Lonchura striata: one gene and its partners. The main gene of each other region encodes a partner of the protein of the gene in region 4 in a complex. Links are inferred from orthologs where the notes say so. Each region holds a gene or a part of one and is shown on either strand. Other genes may lie near its edges. The genes, in order: TAF4, TAF13, TAF11 and TAF10.

Region 1 (7,369 bases), on a different chromosome or scaffold from region 4:
GAGGACTTCACTGGAAATATGGATGTAGGTAGGTATGATTATCATGAAAGAAAAAGGGCCTGTACTGTTGCTGTCCAAATCTACTGTTCACCTCTTTTTATTTTACAATGCAAGAGTTAAGACATTTTCTTGCGGCATACCGTACTTAATTATGAATATTAATCCCTATTAGGAGCATTAGACTTCAGGGATTCACCTAAGGACAACTGAAGTACATGGGATGAGTTGAAGAACAAAACTTTAACAATATTTTTAGATTTCAGGGAGAAGACAATCAAGAGTGTAGACTAAAAGGGGCATTGAAGTTGCTTTATTTACTTGTGCATGTCTGGAGTAAAACTGCATTTGTCCCTAAAGTCAAAGAAAAATACTTGAACCAGGAATAGTTTTCCTATAGATTGTCAAACATTTTTATTCTGGATGCAAATGAAGTCTTGTTGCTTTTGCAGATCACTTGCTAGTGGAGACTGACACCCATTTGCAGAAGAATCAGCACACAGACTTTCAAGGTTACCAATGGGCAGCTTCTGCACAGAACTGCATCGTTTTCAACTAGGACTTCATTCCTTTGCTCCTAACACTCTCTGCTTACCAAATTATCCATTGAACTCCTGTGCTCCTCCAAAAGAAAAAAAAATAAAAGGTACAAGGCAGAAAGGTAGGGAAGGATACTGGCTACAAGGCTAGTGCAGCTTTATGAATGAACCCAAAATTTTGGTTTTGCTGAACACTCTCCAGTGGAAACTGACACAAGTGTGGATTTTGTCATCTTGTTTGACTGAACTTTTGAAATCAAGGTATTACTGGTAAAATCCCAACTTTCAGTGTTTCAAATGATCCTGGGTGAGGAGCAGAGAGAGGCAGGAAAGAAGAGAAAGAAATCATCTATCAAAGCAATACGTTTTTCATCTATTTATTGATGGGCCTTTAGGCTTCTGGTGGGTCAGTTAAGACTAAAACCATCTGTAGGCTTCTCTGTTCTGTCCCTTGTCACCCCAATCCATACCTAAGTCAGATGTTTCTGTAACGAGTTCTAGACTAACTTCATTTTTAGAAAACAAACAGGAAAATGGCATTACCTTAACCTCTGACAGTCTCTGTGTCATGATCTACATTGTAGATCTAGGGGAGGAATAAGTATTTTAATAATAATATAATAATATAATAATATAATAATATAATAATATAATAATATAATAATATAATATAAAGGAAGGAGGTTAAGGGAACTGACAATTCTCCATTTTTCTTGGATAGCTCCTGCTAGTTTCTGCTCTTTGACACGCAGAGAACCCATATGTATCTGTAATGTTCAAGATCTTTTGATGTAACTGATGGGTGAATTCCACAGCCTTCACTGTATATTGAGTCTGACTATTTCTACACCAACACTAATAATTACCTGTACTCAATTACTAGAATCCTTGTGCAAGTTGCTCTTTTTGTACCATTTAAAATGGAGTAGTACAGCACAGGAGCTGGAATCCCTGTGCTGAAGAATTCAGTCTAGAAACTTACTTCCAACGTCAAACAAGAGACAGAGTGTATGAGAAGATAAATTATTCAGTAATGGATCCTACACACTTATAATGCACAAGTTGTAATGAATCTCAGTTGCTCTTGTAATTTTGTAAAGTTGTTTACCTAATATGGTAGATGTGCCATATGGTACACTAAAGAGAGTGTTAGAATGAGGACGTGAAGATTTCTAGGTTTTTATTTCTAGTTTTGTAGGCATCTGTAAACTACATTCAAGCTGTCCTAGAATGTGAGCAGAGCAAGAATGCAGGCTGCTCTGCCCCTTCATGCTGACTGCTGCTGCCACCTGATAACATCCTCCATCTCTTCCTCCCGTGCTCCTCAGGCACTGTGGCCCAGCATGGGGCTGTGCCCTGGCTAGATGCCATCAAAGAAAGTCTTTCAGACACTCTGCATCTTTAGGCTGACTTAGTTTGAGCCAAGCTTTTTCACCTTTAATACATTATTTGAGCAGCTGGTTAACTCTTCTGGTGGGTAGGGAATGTGACCAGGCTTCTATTCCAGAGAGTTCTTTGGTATGTTGCTTATAGAATTTCACCATAGCTAAAACTAGCAACGGGCTTGACTGAGGCAGCAGCAAAGAGGTTGGGACTGCCCTGCTCAAAGCAGCATTTCTGGCTTGTAAGAAATGGGTAATATGACCTACAGTGATGCCTGTAAAATCACATTCACTTTGCAGTACTGTAATTTGTCAAAAATTGATAAAATGGGAGTTAAAATTCACACAGATGAAAAGGGCAGTTTCTTGCTCACCCTTGAGTTTCAAGTGATGCCTGAGAAAAGCATTTAAGTACAAGAATAAAATATTAATATAAAACTCAGAGGCTGTAGGCAGTTTCTCAGGATGATGCCATGGGGGTAAGTGAGCAGAGCCTTGGGAAAGGCTTAACATTGTAATTTTTAGTTATCAGCCAAAGTCTACTGCAGGTGAGAAGAGGACATAGAAACTAGAAGAGCAATATCCCTCACTATGAGCTGAATTTCTAGGATTTTTGATTTAAAGGGACTTGCACTATTATTTGGGGCCTGTATGTTAAGAGCAAATACCAGTTTTTATGTGATTTTTTGGCAAACAGCTTCTCCCTGGTAGGTACGTTTGCATATTTGAGGACAGGGTGAGAACTGGACAGTACTTCACCACTGTTCCCATTGCTCATGGAGTCAACTGTCAAGCAGATCAATTCAATTCATGTTAGAATTAAGTGATCAAGTTAAGTGATCACCACAAATATGTGATAGGGGAAGTGCTGACACCCACATCTGGGCAACCCTACGTACAGAAAACTTGGACATATTTAAATGTATCCCCTTTTCATAGATAAGTCAGGGCTCTGGTTCTTCCAGGTCTCCACCAGCCTCCAGGCAGGAGGCCAGTCAATTCCCCAGAATCATCAACCAGCAGGTGCTGAGCCCATCCCACTATAACAGAGTTCCAGTCTCTAATGCTGCCCATTCCCAAAATGTAACAGCAAAGCTTATTTTAAAACCCTGATATAAGAGGTGCTATTTTAAGCTTGCTACCCCTTAAAACTTGGAAGTTAAGTTAAATTAGGCATTGGAATAAGTTGCCCAGAGAGGTGGTGGAGTCACCACCCCTGGAGATGGTTAAGAGGAATCTGGATCTGGTGCTGGGGGGATGTGATTTAGTGGTTTAAGGGTTACAGGGGTAGTGCAGTTGGACTTGATCTTAAAGATCTCTTCCACCCTTGATGATTCTATGATTCTATTCTGTGAAAGATAAATCATACCATCTGATAACATTGTTCCAATTGCATCTGGTAATACTGTTCCACTCATTCAGTTTTCTGGAGAAGCAGCGCCTGGCAGAAGAGCGCATTTATTGAAAGGCGGGTTGTATTTTTACGTTATTTACTTCCTTTATGATGGTTGCACAACAAGGTCAAAGTGCAGCCGCGTCCTGTAGGCGATCGTGTCCACCTGCAGCCGGCGCCGGCCGAGCTGCGCGGGCCGGGCCCGGGGGCTGCGCTCCCCGCCGAGCGCCGCTGCGGAGCGCGGCTCTCCCCCAAGGGTTAAGCGGCGGCGGGGGTGTAACGCGGGCTGACACACGGGCGGGGATCGCCCCGCCGTGCCGGCTCGCAGCTGCGACTGGACCGTTCAAAATTGCCGTCTCCCTCTCTTTTCCCCCCCGCCTCCCCTCTCTCTCTCGCCTTCCTTTTCCCTTCCCGGCGCTGGGCTCGCAGCCGGGCGCGCTTTCCCGGAGCTGGCCCCGGCCGTGCTGAGTCAGACCGCGCCCCGCGCCCGCCCCCGCGGCCCGGCCGCACTGAGGGGCTGCTGCCCCCGGCTCGCCCCGCCGACGGCGGCGGCAGGGAGGCAGGCGCGGGGGCTCCTCCTCGCCCGCTGCCCCCGCCCGGGGCTGGGCGTGTGCCCCGCCCGCCCCGCCGGTGGATCAGTTACACGCAGCTGGCACAGGTGCGGGGCGCCCTTCAGACTCGCGCCGGCGGGGGAGACCCGGACGCAGAGAGCAGCAGGGAAAACATGCAGCCATTTTGGGCCGAGGCAGACAAAGAGCCGCCGGCGGCCGCGGCCGCCCCCGCCGCCCCGCGCGACTCCCGAACCCCCCGCACCCGCGGCGCGGCCGCACCGAGGGGCCGCAGCCCCCGCCCGCCCGCGGCCGCCGGGGGGCCGCCGCCGCCGCCCGACTCCCAACTAAGCGATCGCAGCCATTTGCACGGCCTTTTATAGGCGGGCGCCGGCCAATCAGCGGCGGGCGGAATCCCTGCCCGGCCGGTGATGTGCGGGCCGGGCGCTCGCGCGTGCGCTGTTGGGCGGGGGGGCCGAGTGTGAGCGGGGCGGGGGGAGGAGGGAGCCGTGAGAGGGGAGGGGGGGGAGGAGGGAGCCGCTCACAGGAACCCTCCGAAAAAAAGATGGCGGCGGGCTCGGATCTGCTGGATGAGGTTTTCCTGAACACGGAGGTGGATGAGAAGGTGGTGAGCGACCTGGTGGGCTCCCTGGAGTCCCAGCTGGCGGCCTCCGGCCACCACCACCAGCACCACAAGGCGCAGGAGCCCCTGAGGGCCGCTGGGGGGCTGCTGGGGAACCATGTTGTGAGCAGCAGCAGTAGCAGCAGCAGCCCTAGCCCCAGCCCTGGAGGAGTAGTAGTAGGAGGCAATGCTAATGTCCAAACAGAGAGCAGCAGCGGCAGCAAGATGGGACTGAGTGCCCCAGAGATCACAAAAGCAGGTAACGTGGGCAGGGGTGGGGGGCTCTGAGGGAGAGGGGCCCTCCCCTCCCCCCACTCTCCGGCTCCCGCTGCCTCCTTCCCTCACTGCTTTCCCCCCTTTTCCCTCTCTCCTCCTTCTCGTTGTGGCAGGAGCGGGAGTGCAAAGGGTGGTATCGATCATACGGGGGAGAGCCTCCCCTCATCATGCCCCCTCGGTGTGTATCCGCGCCTCTGCTCCCTCCCCTTTATTTTCCCTCCTCGCCTGTGCTTACTCGAGGGTGTTGGATCCTGTGTGGGGGCAGCCGCCCCGCAGAAGGAGCCGGCAGTGCCCGTCCGTGACTCTGCCGGTCCCCTCTGCTTTTCCTGCCCTTGTTGCTGGAGTGTAAAAGGGCTCTGTTAATCTCGGGGACTGAAGGAGGCAGAGCCCACCCCCTTGGTCATGGCTGTGCCTCCCATGCCGCCTGTGATTGCTCCCCTTCCCTTTCCAGGGGTGGAGGTTATGGGGGGGATTCCCTCTTGATAATGCCGCCTTAGCTGTCTGTGTAAATGCTCCTTCCCCTCCCCCTTCGCTGTTGCTGAAGTGGAAGGGGGTGTTATTAATCATGACACCTATTTCCTGTAGAGGAGGAAGCGAGGGGGGATTTCAAGGGGAGGAAGTCCCTCAAAATGCTTCCCCCCCATATCTGCCTGCCTTGATATTCCCCTCGCACCCCCTCCCTTGTTCCAGGGGCTCGGAGGGGGCATGGGGACCTCCCATTCCTCCTCTGCCCTCAAGGGGGGGTAGTCACAACGCCGGGTCCCGGCAAGGGGGGGAATTCAGGCCACAGCACCCCACCTTGCACAGCGCCTTCTCCCACCGCCCACCCCCCGAGCTGCCTGGGAATATACCCCCCTTCGTGTCCTGAGGCTTCTAGGGGGGCAGTGTGAAGGCTGGGACTGAGGGCTCACTACGTGGGAATGGAGGGAAGCTGGTTTTTTTCAGGGGGATTGAAAGAAATGTCTCCCCACAATCTCTCTGCAATTCCTCCCCTCCCCCCCCCTTTTTTATTTTTGATTTTGTCTTGCTGAAGTGTAAGAAGATACTACAGACCGTCTGTTATGATTGATGAAGCTCTTCTAGGAGGATCTCCTTGACCCTTATAATGTGCATCTCAGTGTCTGCCTGTCACTATTCTTTTCCCATTTCTGTCTCCTTAGGGCCAGGACCTGGACTGTGTGTGATTGTACTTGTGCTAACACCAGGCCTTATCAAGGGGCATGAGGATTATTCAGGACAAGAAGCTACATCATCTTGTCCCTTCTGAAAACCAGCTTTGCTTTTTATTTATTTATTTTTAACTATCTCTGGCTGTGGGAACTTCAGCTCTGTTGGAACAAATTCTGTAATAAGGAAGAGGGGTCTTCTAGAAACCTGCTCCAGGCCTTGCAGTACTTCTTATCTTGCCGGGCTGATGTTTTCCTTTCCTTTCACTTTTCATATTTTGCTGTTGCTGAGCCTCCTGATCTGACTGACTTACTTTGTAGGAGATGACAGGATTAGAGACTAATGTGTGCTGGGTATAGGGAGTATGTCTTAATAATGTGTCTTCCATGGCCATTCCCCCCCTTGCAGTTGCAGTCCTGTTTCTAAGTGGGATGTCAGGCTCCAGAATGGGGAGGAGGTCTTAGATGATCTTCTTACTTCCCTTGGTTCATACTAAATCTGTTTTCCCTGTTTTGTACTGTAGTGTCAAAAGCAGGGGTGTTACAATTAATTGTTACAATTAATACTGAATCTGCCAGTCTTTGGTGGGATATTGGAGGCTTTAAGAATATGTCTTCAAAGCCGTGTTCAGTTTGTACTCTGTCCTGTTTTTGTGGCTCCAGACAGGCAGCTTGGGAGATGGAGAAGACCTGGTGATAAGGGAGAACATTCTGTCTTTGCTGGACTTCTCTTCTTGCTCATTCGCTCTGTGTAACTTCGTTGTTGTTTTTCAGGGGCAGGAGGAGTGCAGGGGGGTGTTATTAATCATAACACCAGGTCCCAGACTTCAGCTCTGGATGGAGCCACCACAACGAGCACCAGCACCACCACTGCAGCAGCAGGAGGATCTGAAGTCACTGCTGCTCCAGGGACCCTCAGTCAGGGCAAATCGGTGGTTATCAGCACCATGGCAACTGCCTTGTCCACCAGGAATGGCAAGATTGGGACCACGACGGTGCAGACTTTGAATGGGAGTAACGTGGTGATGAACTCTCACCACACAGGAAGTGCTGCTTTCTCTGGGACTCCTGTGACTGCCAACCCCGCTCCTGCACCTGCTGTCGCCCCTCTCGTTAACAATGGACCTGGATCTGTGGGGAAAGGAAACGCTGTTAATGCTGTTTTGCCCTCAGCTTCTAACACTGTCATCCAGACTTCTTTCCTTAATACTGCTGTGTCCTCTGCATCCTCCTCCTCACCCACAGTGATCTCCTCGCAGCCACCGCCGAGCGTTGGCACTGGGGCGCCCACGGTAACGCTGGTGAGGCCCCCCATCCACACAGCAGGACCCACGGTGGCTGCGGCTGCTGCGGCCACTCAGAACGGGAGCAATACTGTGATCAATTCAACCATCAGTGTGGGGAGTTTTCCTGCGGTTGCCACAGCCACTGTGGGATCTGGAGTTT
Region 2 (6,905 bases), about 93 Mb from region 4:
TGGTGAACTGTGTTAGACTATTTTTTCCCCTAGATATGACCTTTCAGAGCTTTCAGACTGCTTTGTAAGACCGTTTAGGACTCTTAGAGATGTTCCAGATTAACAGCAAAATCATCTTACTTTCTTCTTTGAATCCTCTTTTTCTGGATCCATGCAGGTGGTGTTAACAAAAATTGATCGAGCTTCCAGGGGATTATTGTTAAAGAACGTACTAGAGATCCAGGAGTTCGTAAAGAAGAGCACTCAGGGATGCTTTCCTCAGCTGTTCCTGGTCAGGTAAAGCTCCTCTCCACTGCTGCTGTTGCCTTTCTGGTAATGAGTTCAGTAGGGCAAGATACCTAAAACAAGTCTGTCTGCTCTAGAAGCAGCACCTCTCTGTGCCCCAAGGATAGAAGGTGGGCTGCTGATGGGGAAATGTCCTTTTTCTTCTTTCCCCCTTCTCTGCAAGTGAGTGAAGTTTGTTTCCAGGTGCTTCTTCATTTGACCATTCTCAAAGCAGAGCAGCAGTTCCTGTGCAGCATGGTAGCAGGCCTTCCCATTTTATTTGGAGTTCTGGTAACAGTAAGAGCTGTAATTGTTGGATTACATAGCCAAAGTGCAGGCTTTTCCCAGGGTGTACTGTGGGACATGTAACTGAGCACAGCCAGTGGCTATTTGCCTTTATTACTCCAAGACACGTCAGTATGTGGCACTGAACATCTATGACTCTTTTTCTACAGCTCTGTGGAGTTTTCGGGGGTTCACTTGCTCAGGTGTTTTGTAGCCCATGTTACTGGAAACCTGCCTATTGTAGAGGCCAGCTGAAAAGACCTGCTGATCTGCTTGGCTCATCAGGAACAAGAGGTACCAAAAACAGGTCTCGGTTTTTGTTGCAAATAACCCAAGTTACTATTATGGTATTTTTGAATAAATTAGTATTTATATAGCTAATTTTTTTCTTTATTAAGTTCATCAGTTCAGGAAGTTTGCAGTATGAATTAATCCAAGTTACTATAAAACTGTTTCATAAAGCCTACGTGATTGTGCCAAGGAGAAAAAAAGTAGGTAACCTCCATAGAGAATGGAAGTTTTAATACACCATTTCCTCTCCCTACACTGAAATGTTAAAAAATCTACTACTCCATGCCTTACCTCTGCTATATTTAAGATACTAGATACAGTCTAGTAATATTAATAAAGAGGCATTTAATCTAGGAAAGAAAAACTACAGCCCTAACATTAAGCAAGCCTAGTTGAACTGAATGATACACAGAGGCTTACTTACTTCTCTCAGCTGGGATTAGGATTAGGATAGCAGGGACCAAAAACTACCTCCTCTGCAGCCTACCTGCTCTGAGGCCATGCATTGTGGAAATAGCCAACCTGTTGTCTGTGAAAGTCTGTTTAACGTCTTGTATATTGTACTTTTGTAAGTCCTCTGTGTCCATTAGGTGCAGCAGGATGGCATGCCTTGCTTGCAGACATTGAATTGTCCCTGTTCCACAAGGATGAAGGAAAGAACACATCTTCTATGGGATCTGCTTTTCCATGAGTGTTGACTTGAAACAGAGTGGAATAAAAGACTGACATCTAGAGGAACCCTGTCCTGCACACTTGTCATGAGTCAGTGCTGCATTTACCTTCTGTTTTGAGATCCAGCATGAATTTCTGCAGCACCACTTGGATGAATTGCCAGATCTGAGGCACAACATCCATGATCTGTAGTGGCTCTACTCTGGCAGCTGAAGCACAGCACTGTATGCTTTAGGGGAACTCTGTTCCACAGCAGCTAAGAGCACCTGAAGCTGTCCAGTTAAAAGGCAGAACTGGACAAAACGACAGCCATAAATAGCAGCAGTCATACAGGAGAACTTAATCTGAAGCTATGAAGTGCCTGTGTCAAACCCTGGCACTCAATCTTTGTCAGGTCAAATGTGGTTATGCAGTTGTCAGTTATTTGCATTAAGTGTTTAAACCTCAAAAAGGAAAGTTCTTTTCTAAACCACTCTGATAGTGCAAAAGGACTAGAAATACCAGTTTCATTATGCAATTTCTTGTAACACACTAGTTATGAGACAAGATCTGTTTTCAGCATACATGTAAGAGGAGAATATGAGGAATACAGTAAATATGGCTCGCTAGCTTCTGCGATTAAACCTGTAATTCTGTTAATATTTTATCTCTAATCCCAAAATGCTGCAGGGCAAACCAGCCCAAGGGATGCATGATCCTAGAAATGCAGTAGTAGCTATATAGATGGAACAGGTGAAAGTGAACACTTCAGGAAAGGCCTTTTTGTAAATCCTTTAAACCAGGATCTTCCAAAAACATCGGCCTTGTCAAGGCTGTAATTTTCAGGGCCTCAGCCTTGACTGAAGGGCTTCTGAAAAGAACCCTGAATATGTAAAAAAGTGCAGTTCTGGTTTTAGTCCCTCTTCAGAACAAAACCCCTTACATTTCATTACAGTGCTAGGAAGTCTTTTACTAACCACTTAAATACATTAAATACGTCCAGTTAATCCATTTTTATAAACAAGCTGGATGTGTGTGCATGGAACATTAGGTACCATCTTCTCCAGAAGAACCAACTTTACCTCTGGACACATCATGGTTTTATTCGGAAGCGCTTCAGATACTGGAATAACTCCTGCATTTTGCTCTTAGCTATTTGCAGGAGAGAACACTAACAGTTTGATTCTTGAGTGTGACAGTGCCCCTGTGGCAAAACAATAAATAAAATCAAGTCCTCCCCCTAAACAGTAAAATTTATTTCAGTGCATTTGTGGGAACAGGGATTGGGTACACAGGTGCCTTGACACACTACTGGAGGTTTTTTTGCCAGGTTCTTAAGGTACCGGCTGAGTTGCAGAGTGAGGAGCTGCACTTTCTCAGGCCAGAGACACAAAAGATCTTCCTTTCTTTCCCCCTCATTAATGAATGGTGGGGTGGGCTTGGCAGCATGCTGATACAGTAGAGCTCATTTCAGTTTTAAATTCAAATGTCTTTAGTTGTTTGCAGTGCATAAGCTTCACTCAAAGCTCCTGTCATTACCTGGTAAAGCTTTGCCTCTTCTACAGCTGTTACTTACAGAAATCATGTTGAGTATTAGCTTCCATGGAAAAGGATTTCATCTTGTGCGTCTTCCCTGGTCCTTCAGCAGTACTTTGTCCATTTTCTTCCTCTACCATGTCTTGGGTCTGGTCTGGTTTTGTCTGTTGCCATAACTGACACTACAAAGGCAGTATTTTTGCAATAGTGTCCAAGATGAGAACATTGCAATCTGGACAGGTGCACTAGTAGATCAGTAAAAACTGGTTGAATAATCGAGCACAGAGCATAGGAGCCGGTGGCTCATACTCCAGTCGCATGGCAGTTAAAAGTGGAACACGGCAAGGATCCATTCTGGAAGGTGTCCATTTTAGCATTTTTATGAGTAATCTGGAGTAGGTGCATTGCTGGATTCACCTACTTGCAAGATTAAAGCTAATGTGCCTAGGGCACCAGAGTGAGGGGAACAGTGGGCATGCTCAAGGGCAGGGCTGGAGCAAAGGGGCTGACAGCAACTGTATGAAATACAACAGGACTGGAGCAGCTCCCCTACAAAGACAAGCGCCTTTGGGCACTGTCCAGAAGGTGGAAACCTCACGGCAACCTTCCAGTATGTGAAGGGAGCCTAAAGAGAAGCTAGACGGGGCCCATCAGGAACTGTGATAGGACAAGGGGACAAACCGGAAGAGGAGGCTTATCTTGGACAACTTGGTCTCGTGGGAGGTGTCCGTGTCCACGGCAGAGGGGTTGGGATTAGATGATTTTTAAGGGCCATTATTCCAAATCTTTTACATTCCATGATTCTGTGAACATGGGCAAGTGTGCCTCGCTGAAGGGAAGGAGAAGCCCCTGCCAACCGAACAAACCGACTGTGCAAAGCCACCCTTTCTGACCTGGTGGCTGACCCTCTGTGGAGCAGGGGGGTTAGCAGACACTCCCGAGCTCTCTTTCGAGCCCCGCTATCCCGATCTAGCCACCCGCCACTGAGTGTCGTGGCCAGGTTGGGGCAGCCGCGCCCGCGGCCGCGCGGGGCCGACGCCCGCCCGGGCAGGCCCGGCGGCGCCTCCCGGCGGGGCCGCGGGGCGGGGCCGCGCTGCCGCAGCGGTTCCGGGCCGCCGGGCGGCCATGGCGGATGAGGAGGAGGACGTGCCGGTGAGTGCGGAGGGCTGCCCTCCCGGGATCCGCGGCCAGCCGCGGGAGGAGAGGCGGCGGGAAGGGCCGGGGCCGGACGGGCGCTGACCGCGGCCTCCCCTGCGCTGTGCCCCTGTAGTTCGAAGAGGACGCGGAGGACGCCGGCGGGGGCCTGGACGGTGGGCAGGGCAGGAGGAAGCGGCTGTTCTCCAAAGAGCGTAAGTCGGGCCGGGCCATTCAGCTGAAACCCCGAGCTGACAGCTATGGGGTCCCAAAACTCATTTCTTAGCAAAACAGCGGCTTTCATAATATGCCTTGGCTGCAATTGCAGAAATCTGCCATGTAGACCCTCCCCCTCAAAAATACTGCTAGTGCATCCTCTAGACATAGCTGTGCCCAAAGTTAGCTGCACTGTTACTGTGCAGTGCTTTGCAGCCTAAATGAGAATTCAGAGAGCCTGTCCTCAGACATTATTTTCTGTATGTACAGCTCCTGTACCTACAGGAGGGCTTTTGTTGTCTTATGTTTATTTCCTGTATGTTTCCTCAAGATTTGTCCTGCCTGACAGATGAGAGTGCCGTCCTGGTGCAGGAATGTGCAGGCTGGTGAGCTCTAACTAGATGTGTGCAGCACTGAATGGATGAAAGCCTCACACTGAGTGTTTCTTTGTGCAGTAAGGTGCATGATGTATGGATTTGGGGATGACCAGAACCCTTACACAGAATCAGTGGACATTCTTGAGGACCTGGTAATAGAGTTTATCACTGAAATGGTAAGTCAACTCTAGATGGCACAGTCAAAACATCCTCACCAAACTTTGCCTTTTTTGAAGGTTAATACCTCCGACTCAAATATTGCATTATTCCAGGCCCCAAACTCATGGCATTAATAGGAGAAACTTAAACTTGGATTTTGTTTTCCCAAGATTAAAGTAAAATTTATGCATCTTGCTCCATGTGGATTTAGAACACTGAAGGCTTTAAGCAGCATTTAGATTAATATTGTAGGAGGGGAGGTACCCATCTGACTTTGGTGTTCACTGTATGTGCAGCTGACAGAAGACAAGGCTCAGATTTGAAAGTCAGGTTTTGTTTGCCCAGTGCCTGTACATGGATAGGAACTTAGCTCTGCCCTCCAAAATGAATGCATTCTTGGGCCTGAGCCCATTTCTCTTCCAGACCTAAATGCTGTTTCTAAGTATCCAAACATATCCCTTTGTTTTGAAAGGTTGGTCTTTCCTATCTTATCAAAATGTTCTGCACTGGCCTCTTATACAGTTACTTCATACTGCTTCTAAGTTGTGCCTAATTTTCAGCCATTCTGCAGGCTGAATGTCCTATGTGTAATCTGTCCTTAGTTTTGATACCATTACCTGATACATTTGTAGTGGTTATGTTTGGGGTGTAACTGACAGGCAGCTCGGGACATTAGACTAAGTCCATGGTTTACTGGGAAGTTCTCTTGTGACTAGGATGATGGTGCCCAGAATCAGCAATTGCTTACTCTTTTATTATAAAATGTCAAGGAATAAAGTGGAATTGAGACCTTAAAAAAGCACCATGGCAAAGGAATACTGTTGCCTTTTTTTTTCTCCTCTGACAGACACACAAGGCCATGTCCATCGGGCGCCAGGGTCGGGTACAGGTTGAGGACATCGTCTTTCTAATACGCAAGGACCCCCGGAAGTTTGCCAGAGTTAAGGACCTCCTAACTATGAATGAAGAACTGAAACGAGCCAGAAAGGCTTTTGATGAAGCAAACTATGGGTCTTGATTCTGTGCACAAGCTGTACTGGGGCATTATTTGGGCACCTGCTGCCAAGTAAGAATTGAAGATTGCGCGTGTTGTTTGGAAGGGTTTTTTAGGATGGAGGTCACTGTTGGGATGTCTACCCTCACTCCCAGCCTTTTCTGAGAAGTATTCAAGCAGCTGAAATGTTACGTGACTGTATGTGGTATATTTAGGTATTTTTATACCATTTGATGAAATGAGAAAAAGCTCTAAAAGTTCCTGCAGTGGCAGGAGTCTGTTTCAGGTAGGCCTGTGTTTTATCAGATGGCTCAAGGGTTGATAGTTCATGATTTTCTAAAATTGTTTAAGTTGTCACTGGGTATTCCTGTGATAGGAAACCCTGAAAATGGATCTTGGTTATCTGTATAAAGACCTTAAACTCAAACTACTATCAAAGTTGTGCTCTTTGCTCTGTACATGCTTTTTGAATAAAACATATGTTTGTGCCCATGTTTTGTAACTAAATATACATTGATCAGTTCATACCATGTGGGTAATACAGGCCACAGCTGTGCTTTTCCCTACTTCTGGAACAGCTTGGGGAGGTAGGTTCAGTTAACTCCTGATTTCAGAGCAAGCGTAACAAATGCTGTAACAGCAATAATACTGCATATCAAGGCTGTCCCCTCTACAAGCAGCACAGAAGGAAGGGTGTAAGGTTTGGAAATGTGTTGGCAAGTCTTTTGTCCGAAGCAGCAGTGAGTGATCAGCTCTGCAGCCTTTCTTCCATGGATGGGAATTATCTGCACTGTGGATTTGACAGCAGCATTTGACACGTGGTTAGGCAATAGAGAGGGGACATTGAGTAAAGGTAACAAAGTCAGTGTTCCTGGACAAGGGTAGGTAAAAGGATGGTGACTATTCCTTTATTTGGAACACCCTTAAAAATATAAAAATCAGCCACTAAAAAAAACCTGGTTTACAAAAACATAATAAAATGGTTGTTACTTTCTTAA
Region 3 (7,149 bases), on a different chromosome or scaffold from region 4:
AAGACCCAGTAAAAAGGAGTGTAACCCAAAACCCACACGTGTGGGAGGACAAAACCTCCTGGGTCCCCACAGATTGTAAATATCAAAGTTTACTTTGTGGAGCCTCTTATTTAAGGATTCTTCCTCTGTTCCAGTGAGAGCCCACAGGTGCCATGGGAGAGCACGTGGTCTCAGCACCTCTCACAGGGTCAGGAGCAGCTCCCAGGGCCCCTGGAAGGGGACAGGGGCAATGTGCAAGTCTGAACTTGAATTTGAATTTTAGGCAGTATTGCAACTTTGCTGCAGTTTGTTTCCACTGATGGGTTTATTGGTTCTATGAACCACGAGCAGAATTAAACTCATTAACCTCCTTCCAGGCTCTGGCCTCTTTTCCTGCTTTTCCCTCCCCCTCTCTTCCCACTGCTGCTGTTTTTTGGGCAGCTTCTGGATTTGGAAGCACAGCTGAACCCTGATTTCAGATGTTCCCAGGGAATCAGCTCTGGGAGCACCTTGGGTCACACAAAGAGCAGATCCCAGCCTGGTTATGAACACAAGAATAAGTTTAATGCACTGAAAAGAAAACCCACACATCTGGGCACAGATGGCACATCTGGGCCAGCAGAAAATGCTCTGCAGCCCCTGGATGTTGCTCTCCCCAAAGTCCAGGTCAAGGGTGCATCCAGGCTCTGCCCAGCACAGGCAGGGACAGCAGGAACATCCTTGAGGTCCCACAGGTCACCCCAAAAGGGCCTTAGGGAAGAGTCCACGTGGGAAGGTCCTACAGGAAGCTTATCTCAGCCTCTCTCAGTGGAAAATGATCTTTTTGTACTTGGAGTTGGGGATTTGCCCCCGTGCCTTGAGCCTCCGGACAGCCTCCCTCATGTGCTTGGGCTGCAGGGGGGGCAGCTCCCCCCACTTCTCACACACATCCAAAGCTGGACAGATAGACAGACAGACACACAGGTCAGGGCAGGGGCCAGCTGAGCTCTGCCCAGCCCCTGCTGCTGCTTCAGTGCAGTTGGGAAGGAACAGGAAATGTTTGTGCTTGGGGTTTGCACCAGCTCCTCCTCCCTGACAGGAGTCCCAGGGCAGCAGGCAGGACAAAAAGCTGCTGAACCCCTCAGGAACTGTGGAGGGGGTGGAGGAGCTCAGAGCCTCTGGGGGTGGGTGGGCTGTGAGCCCCAACAGCTGAGCAGAAAGAGCAGGCTCAGCTCCCTGTCCCAAACTGATCTGAGCTCATCCCACAAAGGAACTGGGGCAGGTCTAGAGGCTTTGGAGCCACTCTGTCCCTGCAGCACTAATGGCATCCCCATCATGCAGCTGCTCTGGGGCTGAGGGACGGAGTTGCCAGCCCAGCTTCTCTTCCTGAGGAGAAGCAGCAGTGCTGGGGGATCAGAGGGGCTGTGGCAGCTTCTGCTGTGAGCCAGAGCTGCTGGAGAACCATGAAAATCCTGTTCCACACCCTGCTCCAAGCAGGGAATTCACCCTAGCCTCTCAGCAAGGTGCCACTCACCTTCTTCCACCACCTCCCCAACAAACACCTTGGAGATGCCCGACATGGCAATGACGACGTTCTGGGACACGGAGGTGCCGGTGATGGACTGGATGAGCTGGGACAGGGACAGGGACAGTCAGATCCCCACCCCCGTGACCTCCCAGCCCATCCAGCCCCTCGGGGAGCCGCGGCCCCAGCTCCCGCTGCGGGGATTGGAGCTGGAGCCCCCCGGGACCGGCCGTGGCCCAGCCCCGCCGGGGCTCCGGCCGCTCTCGTACCCGTTTGATGGCAGCCTTGGGGAAGGCAGAGCGCCGGTACATCTCGTAGCGGTTCAGCTGCTCCTCGGAGAAGGAGGAGACCAGGATCCTGCGGGGCACGCAGCGATCGCTCCCAGCCCCGCGGAGGCCGGAGCGGGGAGCGCCGGGCTGGAAGGCGGGGAGGGGGATCTGGAGGGGGCTGCGGCACCGGGGCCACGATTCCCGAACCCGCAGGCACTCACTGCATCTTCTGGATCTCGTCCTCGTCCACTTTCTGCTTCTTCTCCTTCCGCTCCTTCAGCTCCAGCTTCACCTTCCGGGCCGCACCCGCCTGCAGCCCCGGCTCCTCCGCGTCCGCCGCCTCCCCCTCCGCGCTCCTCACCTGGGCGGGAGCGCAGCGCTCGTTCTGCGGCCCCGCCGCCCGCCCCGGCCCCGCTCCCGCTCCCGCCTCACCTCCCCGTCCGCCACCTCCGCCTTCAGCTCGCTGCCGCCGCCAGCCTCCCGCACCTCGCCTTCTCCCGCCGCCTCTGCGGCCGCCGCTTCGGGCGGGGAGGCGGCTGCGGGCGGCGGCTCCGGCACAGCGGCGGCGGCACCGAGCGCGTCCCGGGCCGGGTCCGCCATGGCCGCGCCCGCGGCGCCTCCTGATGACGAAACACTGCGGGCGCCGCGAGGGGCGGGGCCTATCGCCACGGGAACGTGACGCGGGGCGCCTCGTGATGACGCACGCGCACCGGCGAGGCGGGGGGGCACGGCGTCTGTAGTCATGGCAACGGAGGTGCGACAGCGCGTCCCGATGACAACGAGGGCGGTGCCTGTTGCCGCGGCAACAGCGACTCGGCAGCGCAGCTTAATGACGCGCGGGGCCGGGCTTGTCGCCATGGCAGCGGGGCTGCGGAGGGGGCCCCGTGCGGGCCTCACCCCCGGGCTCTGCGCGCCCGGACCGACCAACCCCGCTCCGAGCCGCCCTCCGCACGCCTGGACCCTGCCGGGACACGGCGCTAGGGCGGCCCCGCGGGGAAAACTCCCCAGAGCCGCCCGAAACGGGCGCGGCCGAGGCACGGCGGGCACCGCGGGGGGCGTGGCCGTTACAGCTCCCCGCCCCCGCACCGCCCATCCATCAAACCCCGCCCGTCGGGCCGCGCCCTCCGAGGCCCCGCCCCGGCCCGCCCCGGCCCCGCCCCGGAAGTCGCGCGGGCGGCGGGGCCGCGCCGGCCATGGGGAAGGAGCAGGAGCTGCTGGAGGCCGCCCGCACCGGGAACCTCCCGGCCGTGGAGAAGCTGCTCTCGGGGAAGCGCCTCAGCTCCGGCTTCGGCGGCTCCGGCGGGGGCGGCGGCGGCGGCTCGGCGGGGGGAGGCGGCGGCGGGAGCGGCGGGAGCGGCGGTGTGGGGCACCCGCTGTCCAGCCTGCTGAGGTGAGCGCGGCCCGGGGACGGATCCGCGGCCCGGCGGGGGCTGCTGCCGCTGGCTGCGGCGCTGCGGGCCGGGAGGGCAGCGGGAGCCGCGGGTGGCGTGTGTGGGGCTGGGGGCGTCTGGGGGGTTTGGATCTTGGGGTGCAGCGAGGGGGCTGCTGGGGCCGCAGCGCTGCGGGGCAGGCCGGGGTCTGTCCCCGCTCTGCTCCCCGGCTGGGACGGGACACTGCAGCGGGGCGTGGGAGCTGCGCACCCCTGAGCGTTTGGTGGGGCCGGTGATGCCGGGGGGCCGTGCCAGAGGGAGCTCCTCGGGCTGCTGTGCCCTCCGGAGAGGGGAGTGGGTGACTTTCGAGCTGTCTGCAGCCGGCAGTGCCAGCGCTGGGTGCTGCCCGTCCCCCCTGGCACCAGCCGCTGCGGCGCTGGGAGCTGCGGTGTGCCCGGGGAGGCTCCCGCACTGCCAGAGCTGCGGGATGACTTTCGCGAGGTGTCCCGGCCCTGCGCTGGCATTGTCGCGGCTGGCGGTGACACTCTGTCGTGCCTGGGCTCGGCTCGTCCTCAGCCCCATGCTGTGGAATTTGCTGGTTGAAGCTCTTGGACTTTTGTTTCTCTTCCTCGTGTTTTGGCATCACCTCTCGCTGCTGGAGCTGCAGCTTTGGGCACTTTGGGAATGCTCCTGGTCCCTGAGCAGTTGGTTTGTACGGGAGGTGTGGAGGAGGTTTGTGTCCAGTGCCAAGTGATACTGTTGCTACACAACCTGGCTGTTCAGAGAGATGTGACTTGCCCCTTTTTGGCCAAATTTCATCTGTTTTTCCTTTCACATAAACCAGTTGGATCCCTGCAGGTTGTGCTGGTGGCAGAAGCTTGCAGGCATGCGAGAGCTCACCCTGCCCTGGGGCACACGTTTGCCTTTCTGAAACGTAAATCTACCCTTGGGTCGAGCTTTGTTCTTCTCTTTTGCTACATTAAACAGTCTGAGCCCTTGTTGGAGTGGGATGGATGTGCCCACAGGGGCCTCAGATCAGTGCAGTGGCTCAGTGCAGTTGAACACCCTGTGAGCTGAACCAGATCCGCCAGTGCCCAACAGCACCTGGGCACGATGGGGCCTTTTTCTGCCTTTTCCTGGACAGTGCCCGTGGTGCCATGGTCCTGGAGCAGTCCCGTGGTGCCAGAGTGAGCCCGGCTGTCCCTTTGGCTCTGACCTGTTACTGTTTCTCACATGTGGACACTGCTTCGTGCACAGCCTGAAGGAGGGTGCCTGTCACAGCTGTCACTCGTTTTCCATGCTCACAACCATGGCTGTAGCTGCTGGTGACACTGGACCTGCCCCTTTCTCTGTACAGCTGGGATTTGTGCCTGTGACAGCAGTTCCTGGTCTGGCTGCACACTGTGGGGCATGGCAACGTGTCCTGTTTGCCACCTGGTGCTATTTAGGAGCTTTGTGACTGTTTCCCACCTCCCGAGCACTTGCTGGGCTCTGGCTCTGTTATGGACTCCTCCAGCTCGTGGTGAGGTTTTGATGAGAAGCAGCTGCTGAGTGTCCCTGCAAGGAGAGGCCAGGGAGTGCAGGAGACAGGCTGGGACAGGCTGCAGGGACCAGACAGATGAATTTTAGGGTGGAGAAAACATCACCTTTTCCAATGCTAGAACATGGGAACTTTTCTGATGTAGGATTTTGCCCTCCTTGGTTGTGGGGAGAAGCCTGCCCTCAGTCAGGCCTGTGTGCTCTGTGTTTTCCCTTCCTTGGGCAGCCCGTGACCCTGCTCAGGCTGATCCCTGCTCCTGCCAAGGCTCCTCGTGTCCGTAAGGATCTCTCCTGACACAGGAGCTGCTGAGCTGCTCTCCACTCCCAGAGCAGGAACATAAACACTCTGCTGGGCTGCTACCTTTGTTCTTTTCTCTGCCTGATTTCAGGACCCTATTTTAGTTTCTGTTTAAGTCCCACTGTTTGGATAACCTGCTCCCAAAGCTCTTCTCTCCTGAGGTGCCTGTTGCAGCTCTTTTTGTCAGTTCTGCCTTTCCAGTGTCTCAAAGATATAGTTTTGGATGGGGTACAAACCAGGCATTCCCTGGAATTCCCACATTACACCTGGTACATGCTGTGCTGGCACCTGCTCTGAGCTGGCACTCACTGGTTTGGGCCATTTCTCTTCCAAAGAGAGCAAGTGCTGCTCCATGAAGTGGTAGAAGATGGCCCTGGCAGTAAATTCCTTGCAATGTGGTGTTTTATCAGGTAACCTGAATTGCCATTGGTCTGTTATCAGTTAAATGTGAACTTTGTCACAGTCTGGGCTGTGCTGCTCCTTCCCAGGCTGAGCAGGGCCCGCTGGGTGTGGAGGCAGCACAGATTCCAATCACCTATGGCTGCAGGTGAGCAGGAAACAGAATGGGATGGAGTGGGGTAATCCACAGGAGGAGGAGCTCCAAAGACAATTTAAGTCTCTGGAGGGGTGAATGTGCCAGGTGCAACACTCAGGGCACTGGGCAGGAGAATAAATCCTGATGGGAAGCTGATGGGAATGGGGAGTGCTGACAGAGAGCTGGGGAAACGAGGAGGATGCAGGAGGGGGAAATGGGAGTGTGGATCTGCCAGAGCAGATGGTGGGCTCACAAAGAGGTGATGGCTGCCAGGCTTTGGAAGGCTCGGCTCCCTGCTGGCGTCCACGCAGCCCCTGGGATCTGCCAGGGCCTGGGGAGCTGCTGCAGGCCTGGCCCAGCAGTGGGAGCAGGTCCTGGCTCCCTGGCCAGGCCCGGCTTCTCCGGTTCCAGCCATGGACCGTGGCACAGGCAGGAGCTCCGTGTGAGGAGCCAGAGAGAAAACCCACTCTGTGCATGCACAGCTTGAGGCTTAAGAGCAACAGCAAGTCCAGAAATCAGAGATGGTCTGTGAATCCTTGAGGTTCCTTGGGGTTATGAGCCACTTCTGCATCGAGGCTGCAGAATTTGATGTATTGTGGTTTTTTTTTTTTAGTGGTTTACTGTGAAGTTAGGGGTGGGAAACAACAAAACAGTCTGTGGCTGAGCTATCAGGCTGCATTCAGGAGGTTTTGCCAGGAGCAATGAGGGATGGGTTGTGTTAAAGCCAAAGCTGCAGAAGCAGCTTTTTATTTCCATCTATTGCTGTGAAAAGTCTGGATCTGTGTTGCCAGAGGGGGAAGCTGAGGCTGCTGCTGAGCCCCAGATGGGATATGCAGTCCCCAGGGAGCGTATCAGGGAGATGCTTCTGCTGGGGATGAGGAGTTTGGGTGCACGTCTATTGTGGGAAGGGTCGAGTGCTGCTCCAGAGAAGCCACAACCCTTGCTCCAGCCCATTTTCAGCTGTTGCTGCTGGTGAGGGGGTCTGGTTGGTTTAAAGAGTGATGTGGCAGGATGGCAGAACACTTGAGGTGGCTTCCAACAGTCCAAGGGTGGTTAGGAATCAGAAAAAATTTAAAAGTGGGGTTTGCTATTTGTTCTGGTGCTGCTGATGGTTCACAGCAGGGATCTGATGGTGCCTCCTGGGGAAGGCTCCGACTGTGCCTGTCTGCTGCCATTCCCCGGGGAAGGCACACGGTGCCAAGGATTTCCCCCTGGGGAAGGGGGGGATTGCCCTGTCCGAGGTCAGGGCCGGGCTGTCTGTCTGTCCCTCCAGGTGTCCCCAGGCCGTGTGGGTGAGCACACAGTGAGTCCTGCAGTGTCCGGCAGAGACAGCAGCAGGATCACCGGGGGGCTCCAAGGTCCAGCTAACCCAGCCTTGTGCAAGCAAGGTGCTTCCCTCTCTTGCCTTTCCCCATCACAAAGGAGCTGCTCCTGCTGCATTCCCGCAGAACAGGGCAATGCTGGGTCTCCCCCTCATCCTGCTGCTGTGATTAATCATCTCACCCACTTTAAACCTTCTCCACACCCTCCCGTGCACACGGCGCTGTGGGACTGAACCCTCTTTAATTACACACCTGAGCACAGGGATTGCTGAAGGTGCTTGTGCTGGGAATTGTTTCCTAAGTACTTCTTTAAGAATTCAAAGGCTGCAGTTA
Region 4 (6,602 bases):
CTCCCTCCTGCAGATCCCCGTTCCGTGGGATCCAGTGACCGTCCCATTAACAGCGTGGGGGGTGCCAGGCTGAGGCTATGGCTGAGCCACAGGAAGGCTGAGGAAGGCTCAGCTGTGGGAAGGCTGAAGAGGCTCTTCCCCTGGGCCAGGGCTGCAGGGCTGGGCTCTCCAAGCCCTGCTGTTGGCCTGCCCGTGTAGAAGTGGGGGCAGTGATGGGGAGTCCAAGGGCTCTGTCCTGCCCTCCCAGGGCTCTGTGCCCTGACAGCCTCTCCCATCCCACTGGGCTCTGCTGCAGTGGGTGGGTTGCACCGGTTCCCCACGGAGCACAAGGCAATTAGCAGAGCCAGGGCCAGGAAGGACGCAAAGCTGGCACGAGCATCGTTCCACCTGGGCGTGACACCGGCTGTCCTGCGCCAGAGATACAACATGACAGGGGGGGATGTGGGGCTGCTGCCCAACAACAGCCAGGCCTGTGCACAGGTAAGCACTGCCTTGTCAGAGGCATGTGTACCGGGGCAGTCCAAGGGTTTGGTGCTGGTCTGGGGGTCTTGGGACAGCTGGGTGTCCCTCAGTGGCTGCTGGGAGCACCTGGTGTAGCACAGACCCGTGCTGGGCAATTTCCTACGTCAGGATCAAAGCGTTACCTTGTTTTTTTGAGAGGAGACAACCTGTCCCTCTGTATCCCACAGTTTCTCGAGCAGTACTTCCACCAAGCTGACCTGGCTGAGTTCATGCAGCTCTTTGGCAGCGGCTTTGCCCACCGCACGCAAGTGGACCGGGTGGTGGGGCACCAGGGCCGTGGCAAAGCCGGGCTGGAGGCCAGCCTGGATGTAGAATACATCATGAGCACGGGCGCCAATGTCTCCACTTGGGTCTTCAGCAACGCAGGTACTGGGGAAGAGCCACGAGGGGCAGGGGGAAGGAGAGCACCCAGAGAGAGGAGGGGAGGGCCTGGAGCAGGGAAGGGAACATTTGGAGGTTTGAGGGAGGGGGCTGGAACAAGGGAGGGGAGTGCTGGGAGGAGTGAGGGGAGAGCTTGCAGGGCTGTGCAGACAACTGGCTGTAGTACTGCCCAGGTGCATCCCCAGCTGCTGTGGGAGCGGACCCTGTGTGCTCCCCAAGTCAGAGCTGGCACCGCATTCCCAGCTCCTAGGGACATCACTCCTGCTGTGTGTGGTGACTTTGAACTCTGTATACCTTCAATCTTCAGAGTATCCTGAAGCAGGGTTTCTGTTGCTAGCACCATACAGAGCAGCTGCCCCACTCAGCTCCATGAAGGAGGGCACAGCCCTCCTCCCGTGGGGTTTTCCAGCTCTGCTGCAGCTGAGCTCCCACCCACGAGCCTTCCAGAGGAACAGATGAGGGAGAGTGAGGGAATTGGGAAAATAAATTGCCAAACAGCCTACACAAACACAAACAGGGCACAGTGCTAGGGGCAGTGTCCTTGTCCCAGACTGGGAACTGGCTGAGCAGGTGGGTGCCACAGGGACAGCAGCCCTGTCCCTGATGGTGACGGTGACAGCAGATGAGTGCTGCCCTTCCCTCCGTCCTCACACAGTTACTGGTATGGGAAGGATGCAGATGAGTGACATGGGTGACCGAGAGTGAGTAGGTGTGCCTGGGACGCTGCTCCCCTCCCAGTGGAGAGGGCTGGGAACAGGGAGGGACCTGGGCAGGTGCAGGTGGAATGTGTGGAGGTGGCACATGCGCTTCTCTTCTGGGACCTGTTGCCAGAGGAGGAGCTGAGGCCCTGCTGGGCCCACAGGTGCCCATGTGGCTGCAGCCCTGGGGCAGAGTCTCAGAGAGGAGGTGTGAGTGTAGCCCCCTGTCCTGGGCTGATGACAGTCTTGCCAACCCCATGGGCTGAGCTGAAGCTCAGTGCTGTCAATGTGAGGAGCCCCAGGATGAGCTCACGGAGCTCCAGGCCGGATGTGCTGTGACTCCATGGCCCACAGGAAGGAGCACTTGGAGCTGCACTGCGAAGGAGGGTGCTGGTGCTGATGAGGCAGGGCTCCTCGCACTGTCTCCCACTGTCGCTGATGTCGGAGGAGCTATCCCACGTGTCCCTTCCCCGATGTCCTTGCAGGGCGCCACGAGAGCCAGGAGCCCTTCTTGGCCTGGCTGCTGCTGCTCAGCAACATGTCAGCGCTGCCCTGGGTGCACTCGGTGAGCTACGGGGACGACGAGGACAGCCTGTCCTACGCCTACATGGAGCGTGTCAACACCGAGTTCATGAAGGCGGCGGCCCGCGGCCTCACCATCCTGTTTGCCTCAGGTGCAGCTGAGCTCGAGCACCGAGTGGGGCTGGGGAGGGGGTGCCTGGGGCGCCGTGCTCACCTGTCACCTGTTCCTGTGTTGCAGGTGACGACGGTGCTGGCTGTCGGCGAGAGCATGGCGGGAACCACACGTTCCGGCCCAGCTTCCCGGCCTCCAGGTGGGTGCGAGGGGTCAGCACAGCCCTGCGGAGGCACAGCCGGCCCCGGCCCCAGAGGGGTCTGAGCTCCTGAAAGGTCACCTGAGGGTCCTCACCAGCAGTCGTACAGAGCCCAGAGCTGCAGCCTGTGCAGCTGCGGGATTGGTTTGGTCTGTGGGGTGAAGGTGTGGTAGCAGAGGGGGCTGTTGGTGGCTGCTAAGGCCCAAGCAGCCTTGTGCCCACCGGCAGTGTCCCCCTGCTTCCCCAGCCCCTACGTCACCACCGTGGGTGGCACGTCCTTCAAGAACCCCTTCCTGGTGACGGAGGAGGTGACGGATTACATCAGCGGGGGTGGCTTCAGCAACGTCTTCCCCATGCCCGAGTACCAGGTGAGGGACACCAGTGCCGCCAGGCTGGGGGCTGCAGACGGGGCTGCAGGGTTAGGCTCGGGGGGGACAGTGGCCCTGGGGATGCCCACAGGCCGTGCTATCCCCAGGCCGCTGCTGTTGGGCATTTCCTGCACTCAGCCTCGAAGCTGCCGCCCAGCTCCTACTACAACAGCAGTGGCCGTGCATACCCCGACCTGGCTGCGCTCTCTGACAACTACTGGGTGGTGACAAACCGCATCCCGCTGCCCTGGGTGTCGGGAACCTCGGTAAGGAGCTCACCCCCTGCTGCCCTCCAGCACGGCGGGGCCCTGGGCTGAGCGGTTGTGCCCACGCAGGCGTCCACACCGGTGGTGGCAGGCATGGTGGCACTGATCAATGACCGGCGCCTGCAGCGGGGGCTGGCACCCCTTGGCTTCCTCAACCCTGTGCTCTACCAGCTGCAGAAGCAAGGGCTTGGTGATGCATTCTACGATGTGAGCAGAGCAGGGAATGGGCTGGAGGGGCTGTCCTGGGGGCTGAGGGGACTTCGGGTGTTCTGATGTGTTTGGCTGAGGCCTGGGGTGGGCCCATCCATGGGGCTGGGAGGGCCGTGTGTGCTCCAAGGGCTGTCCTGGGGGCTGGGGGTTGTCCTGGGGTTCCTGCTCCCAAAGCTGTGCCTGGGGCAGGGCCAGCAGTGTCCTGCTGGGGGGCAGGAGAGAATCCCTATGGCGTTCCCATGGGAGGGGGTCCTGGGGTTGGCCTCGACGTTTCCATGGGCGTGATATCCTTGGGGGTCCCTATGGGCTTCTGTGAGCTCTGTGGGGGTCCCCATGTCAGATGTCTGGGGGCCCCTGTCCCCAGGATTCCTGTCTCAGGGATGGCAGGGACAGCTGTCCCTGGGTCCTGGGGACTGCGGGCAGGGTCCCTGTGCCCATGCTACCCCTGTCCTGGGTGGTCCCTGGGCCCTGGGATCCCTGTCCCAGGCCTGTGTGGGGCTCGGGTGCTCCAGAGGTCGCTGTCCCGAGACTTGGGGGGCGTTGCCGCGGTCCAGTACTGAAGCTGGTCCCCGCAGGTGATCCAGGGCTGCCACCTGTCCTGCCTGGATGGCACCGTGCAGGGCCAGGGCTTCTGTGCCACCCCCGCCTGGGACCCGGTCACGGGCTGGGGCACCCCCAACTTCCCGCGCCTGCTGCGGGCGCTGGGGCCGCGCTGACCGGGGCCCCGTGGCATGACCGCGGTGCCGGGCAACGGGGCACGGACAGCGGGACCGCACGGACAGCGGGACCGCACGGACAGCGGTGCACGGGCCGCGGGACCGGACAGCGGGACCGGACAGCGGGACCGGACCGCGAACGCCGCGGAGCTGGGGGCGGAGCTGGGGGCGGAGCTGGGGCGGCGGGGGCGGAGCAATAAACAAGCGAAGCCCCGCCCACCGCCTCTGTTTGGACCCGTGCGGGGCGATGAGCGTCGGAGGGCTGAACCAATGGGGGGCAAGGCGGGGGCCCAACGGGGCCAATGGGACGGCGAGGGGGGCGGGGCGAAGGAGCCGCGGGGCCAATGCAGCGGCTCGGCATGCGCAGGCGCGGAGCGGGCTGGCGCCGGGACCATGAGCGGCAGCGGCGATCCCGACCCCGCGGCCGCGGCTCCGGCTGCCCCGCCGGGCCCCGCCGACGGCAGCAAGCCCAGCCCGGCCGCCGCGGGAAGCGCCGGGCCCGGGGCGGCGCCGGCTGCGGGGGGCGGTGCGGCGCGCGCCGCCGAGGGCTGTGCGGCCGGCGGGAGGGGGCCCGGTGAGTCGCGATGGGGGCGGCGGGAGATGCGCCCCGCTCACGGGAGCCCCGCGGGACGCGCTGAGTTACTCGGGCCGTGGGAGCGGCCCCCGGGGTGTTCCGGGGTGCCCCGGGTCCCGCTGGGCGTGTGTCTTGCGGTGCCGGTGCTGTGCGCGGGTCTAGCTCTGCCCGTGCTGTCCCGCGGTGCCGGTGCCGTGCGTCGTTCTAGCGCTGACCGTGCTGTCCCGTGGTGCCGGTGCCGTGCGCGGTTCTAGCTCTGACCGTGCTGTCCCGCGGTGCTGGTGCCGTGCGCCGTTGTAGCGCTGACCGTGCTGTCCCGTAGTGCCGGTGTCCGCGGCCGTGGCCGCTCCCCCGGACGGGGCCATGTCTAACGGTGTGTACGTGCCGCCCGCGGCCAACGGCGACGTGAAGCCGGTGGTGTCCACCACACCGCTCGTGGACTTCCTCATGCAGCTGGAGGACTACACTCCCACGGTACCGACACACAGGGCGGCTCCCGTGGGACGGGACGGGATGGGACACGGGGCAGGTCCCGCGGTACTGGGGTACAGCGCGGCTCCTGTGCCACGGGACATAGGATGTAGAAACGCTCCGCGGGGCTGTGCAGCTGTTCCAACTCTTCCCTCCCAGATCCCGGACGCCGTCACAGGGTATTACCTGAACCGGGCAGGGTTTGAGGCCTCGGACCCCCGCATGTGAGTGGCCGCAAGCTGGGGGGGAGAGGCAGGAGCCACGCAGGGTCCGGCAGAAGGGCCCGCGGACCCTGTTGCCTCACCAACACGGTCCCTGTCCCGCAGAATCCGCCTGATCTCGCTGGCGGCTCAGAAGTTCATCTCGGACATTGCCAATGACGCGCTGCAGCACTGCAAGATGAAGGGCACAGCCTCGGGCAGCTCCCGCAGCAAGAGCAAGGTGAGGGGCTGGGGGGAGTGGGGAGCCCTCCCTTGGGATGGGGCTGAGCCGCAGCCACCGAGTGCAGGAATGTGGGGTGTAGAAATCCCAACATCTGCGGGCTTATGCTGGGTCCCTGCGGGCGGGGAGGGGCTGGCGGGGACACGATGGGGGCATGGAGCTTGTGGACACCCTTTGGTGCCCCTCCACCCCAGCAGTGGTTGCAGCTCTGGGCTTGGGGAGGAGCTGGAGTGAGGGGTGCTGGGGACCCTCCTAGTGCCATATCTGGGGATCAGGGGCTCCGCAAGGCCAGTAGGATTTGGTGCTAGTTGTCCAGGGATATCTGCAGGGAGGTGGGCATACCCCAGTGCTGCCCAGCAGCTCCTCTGGCTGTGGGACACGCCTGTCCCTGCACTGTGGGGGGTCCCACGGCCCCGGCTGTCCCTGCTGTGACCGCCTGCCCCATGTCCCTCAGGACAAGAAGTATACGCTGACCATGGAGGACCTGACACCGGCGCTGGCTGAGTATGGCATCAACGTCAAAAAGCCGCATTACTTCACATAGAGCACGGGGGAGCTTGGGCAGCTTGTAGGGGTAGTGTCAGTGCCATTAAACACCTCACAGGGTTTTGTGGGAAGGCAGCCTTGCTCCTGTGCCTGCGTCCTCAAGTGCTGGCCCTGGTCCTCCACGTGCTCACCCCCCTCTGCTGGTCAGAGGGGGCTCGGTGCTCCCAGCAGTACTGGAGCAGAGTGGGGTTAGGGCACAGGGACTGCCCAGCACTCTTCCTTCTCCTCCTTCCCTAAACTGCCCCTTGTCTCCCACAGGGAACACCATGGGGGCTGCACAGGCAGCACGACAAATGGAGCCAGGGATGGGACCCTGAGCCCACCCCTCCTGCACCAGGCCCCTCCCGAGGGGGCCCTGTGCCTATCTACCCTACTTGTGCTGGGCACCAGAGGGTTGCTGTGGGTGGTGACTTGTGCCCAGGGCTCTGTGGGCTGCAAGGTAGCCCCATGTCAATCCAACCCCACCCTCAGTCCTAGACATCCCCTGTGAGTCTCAGCCCCCCAGTCACTCCAGCCCCCCACCCCAAACAACTCCCCCCATTCCTCCGCCCCGTACCCCAGCAGCTGGTTCCATAC

Evidence for each region.
Region 1: TAF10 (region 4) and TAF4 share a complex: the UniProt entries of both Homo sapiens proteins name them as parts of the TFIID basal transcription factor complex. The link is inferred for Lonchura striata from reciprocal best matches to the Homo sapiens genes TAF10 and TAF4.
Region 2: TAF10 (region 4) and TAF13 share a complex: the UniProt entries of both Homo sapiens proteins name them as parts of the TFIID basal transcription factor complex. The link is inferred for Lonchura striata from reciprocal best matches to the Homo sapiens genes TAF10 and TAF13.
Region 3: TAF10 (region 4) and TAF11 share a complex: the UniProt entries of both Homo sapiens proteins name them as parts of the TFIID basal transcription factor complex. The link is inferred for Lonchura striata from reciprocal best matches to the Homo sapiens genes TAF10 and TAF11.

What each region holds. Positions count from the first base shown.
Region 1 is NC_134619.1:4,882,006-4,889,374, reverse strand, and holds the start of TAF4 (transcription initiation factor TFIID subunit 4), read left to right. Parts: upstream 1-4,368; 5' UTR 4,369-4,424; coding exon 4,425-4,740; intron 4,741-6,697; coding exon 6,698-7,369. UniProt on the Homo sapiens protein: The TFIID basal transcription factor complex plays a major role in the initiation of RNA polymerase II (Pol II)-dependent transcription.
Region 2 is NC_134604.1:23,956,201-23,963,105, forward strand, and holds TAF13 (transcription initiation factor TFIID subunit 13), read left to right. Parts: upstream 1-4,111; 5' UTR 4,112-4,152; coding exon 4,153-4,179; intron 4,180-4,297; coding exon 4,298-4,376; intron 4,377-4,832; coding exon 4,833-4,930; intron 4,931-5,760; coding exon 5,761-5,931; 3' UTR 5,932-6,399; downstream 6,400-6,905. Other genes in the region: GTPBP8 (GTP-binding protein 8), read left to right, coding at 158-276, 720-804. UniProt on the Homo sapiens protein: The TFIID basal transcription factor complex plays a major role in the initiation of RNA polymerase II (Pol II)-dependent transcription.
Region 3 is NC_134632.1:4,361,407-4,368,555, forward strand, and holds TAF11 (transcription initiation factor TFIID subunit 11), read right to left. Parts: upstream 2,353-7,149; coding exon 2,185-2,352; intron 2,114-2,184; coding exon 1,974-2,113; intron 1,841-1,973; coding exon 1,753-1,840; intron 1,590-1,752; coding exon 1,493-1,589; intron 915-1,492; coding exon 784-914; 3' UTR 522-783; downstream 1-521. Other genes in the region: ANKS1A (ankyrin repeat and SAM domain-containing protein 1A), read left to right, coding at 2,946-3,142. UniProt on the Homo sapiens protein: The TFIID basal transcription factor complex plays a major role in the initiation of RNA polymerase II (Pol II)-dependent transcription.
Region 4 is NC_134604.1:116,987,402-116,994,003, reverse strand, and holds TAF10 (transcription initiation factor TFIID subunit 10), read left to right. Parts: upstream 1-4,387; coding exon 4,388-4,568; intron 4,569-4,890; coding exon 4,891-5,042; intron 5,043-5,198; coding exon 5,199-5,263; intron 5,264-5,365; coding exon 5,366-5,480; intron 5,481-5,934; coding exon 5,935-6,024; 3' UTR 6,025-6,101; downstream 6,102-6,602. Other genes in the region: TPP1 (tripeptidyl-peptidase 1), read left to right, coding at 296-480, 690-888, 2,087-2,275, 2,362-2,434, 2,682-2,802, 2,910-3,068, 3,138-3,275, 3,854-3,994. UniProt on the Homo sapiens protein: The TFIID basal transcription factor complex plays a major role in the initiation of RNA polymerase II (Pol II)-dependent transcription.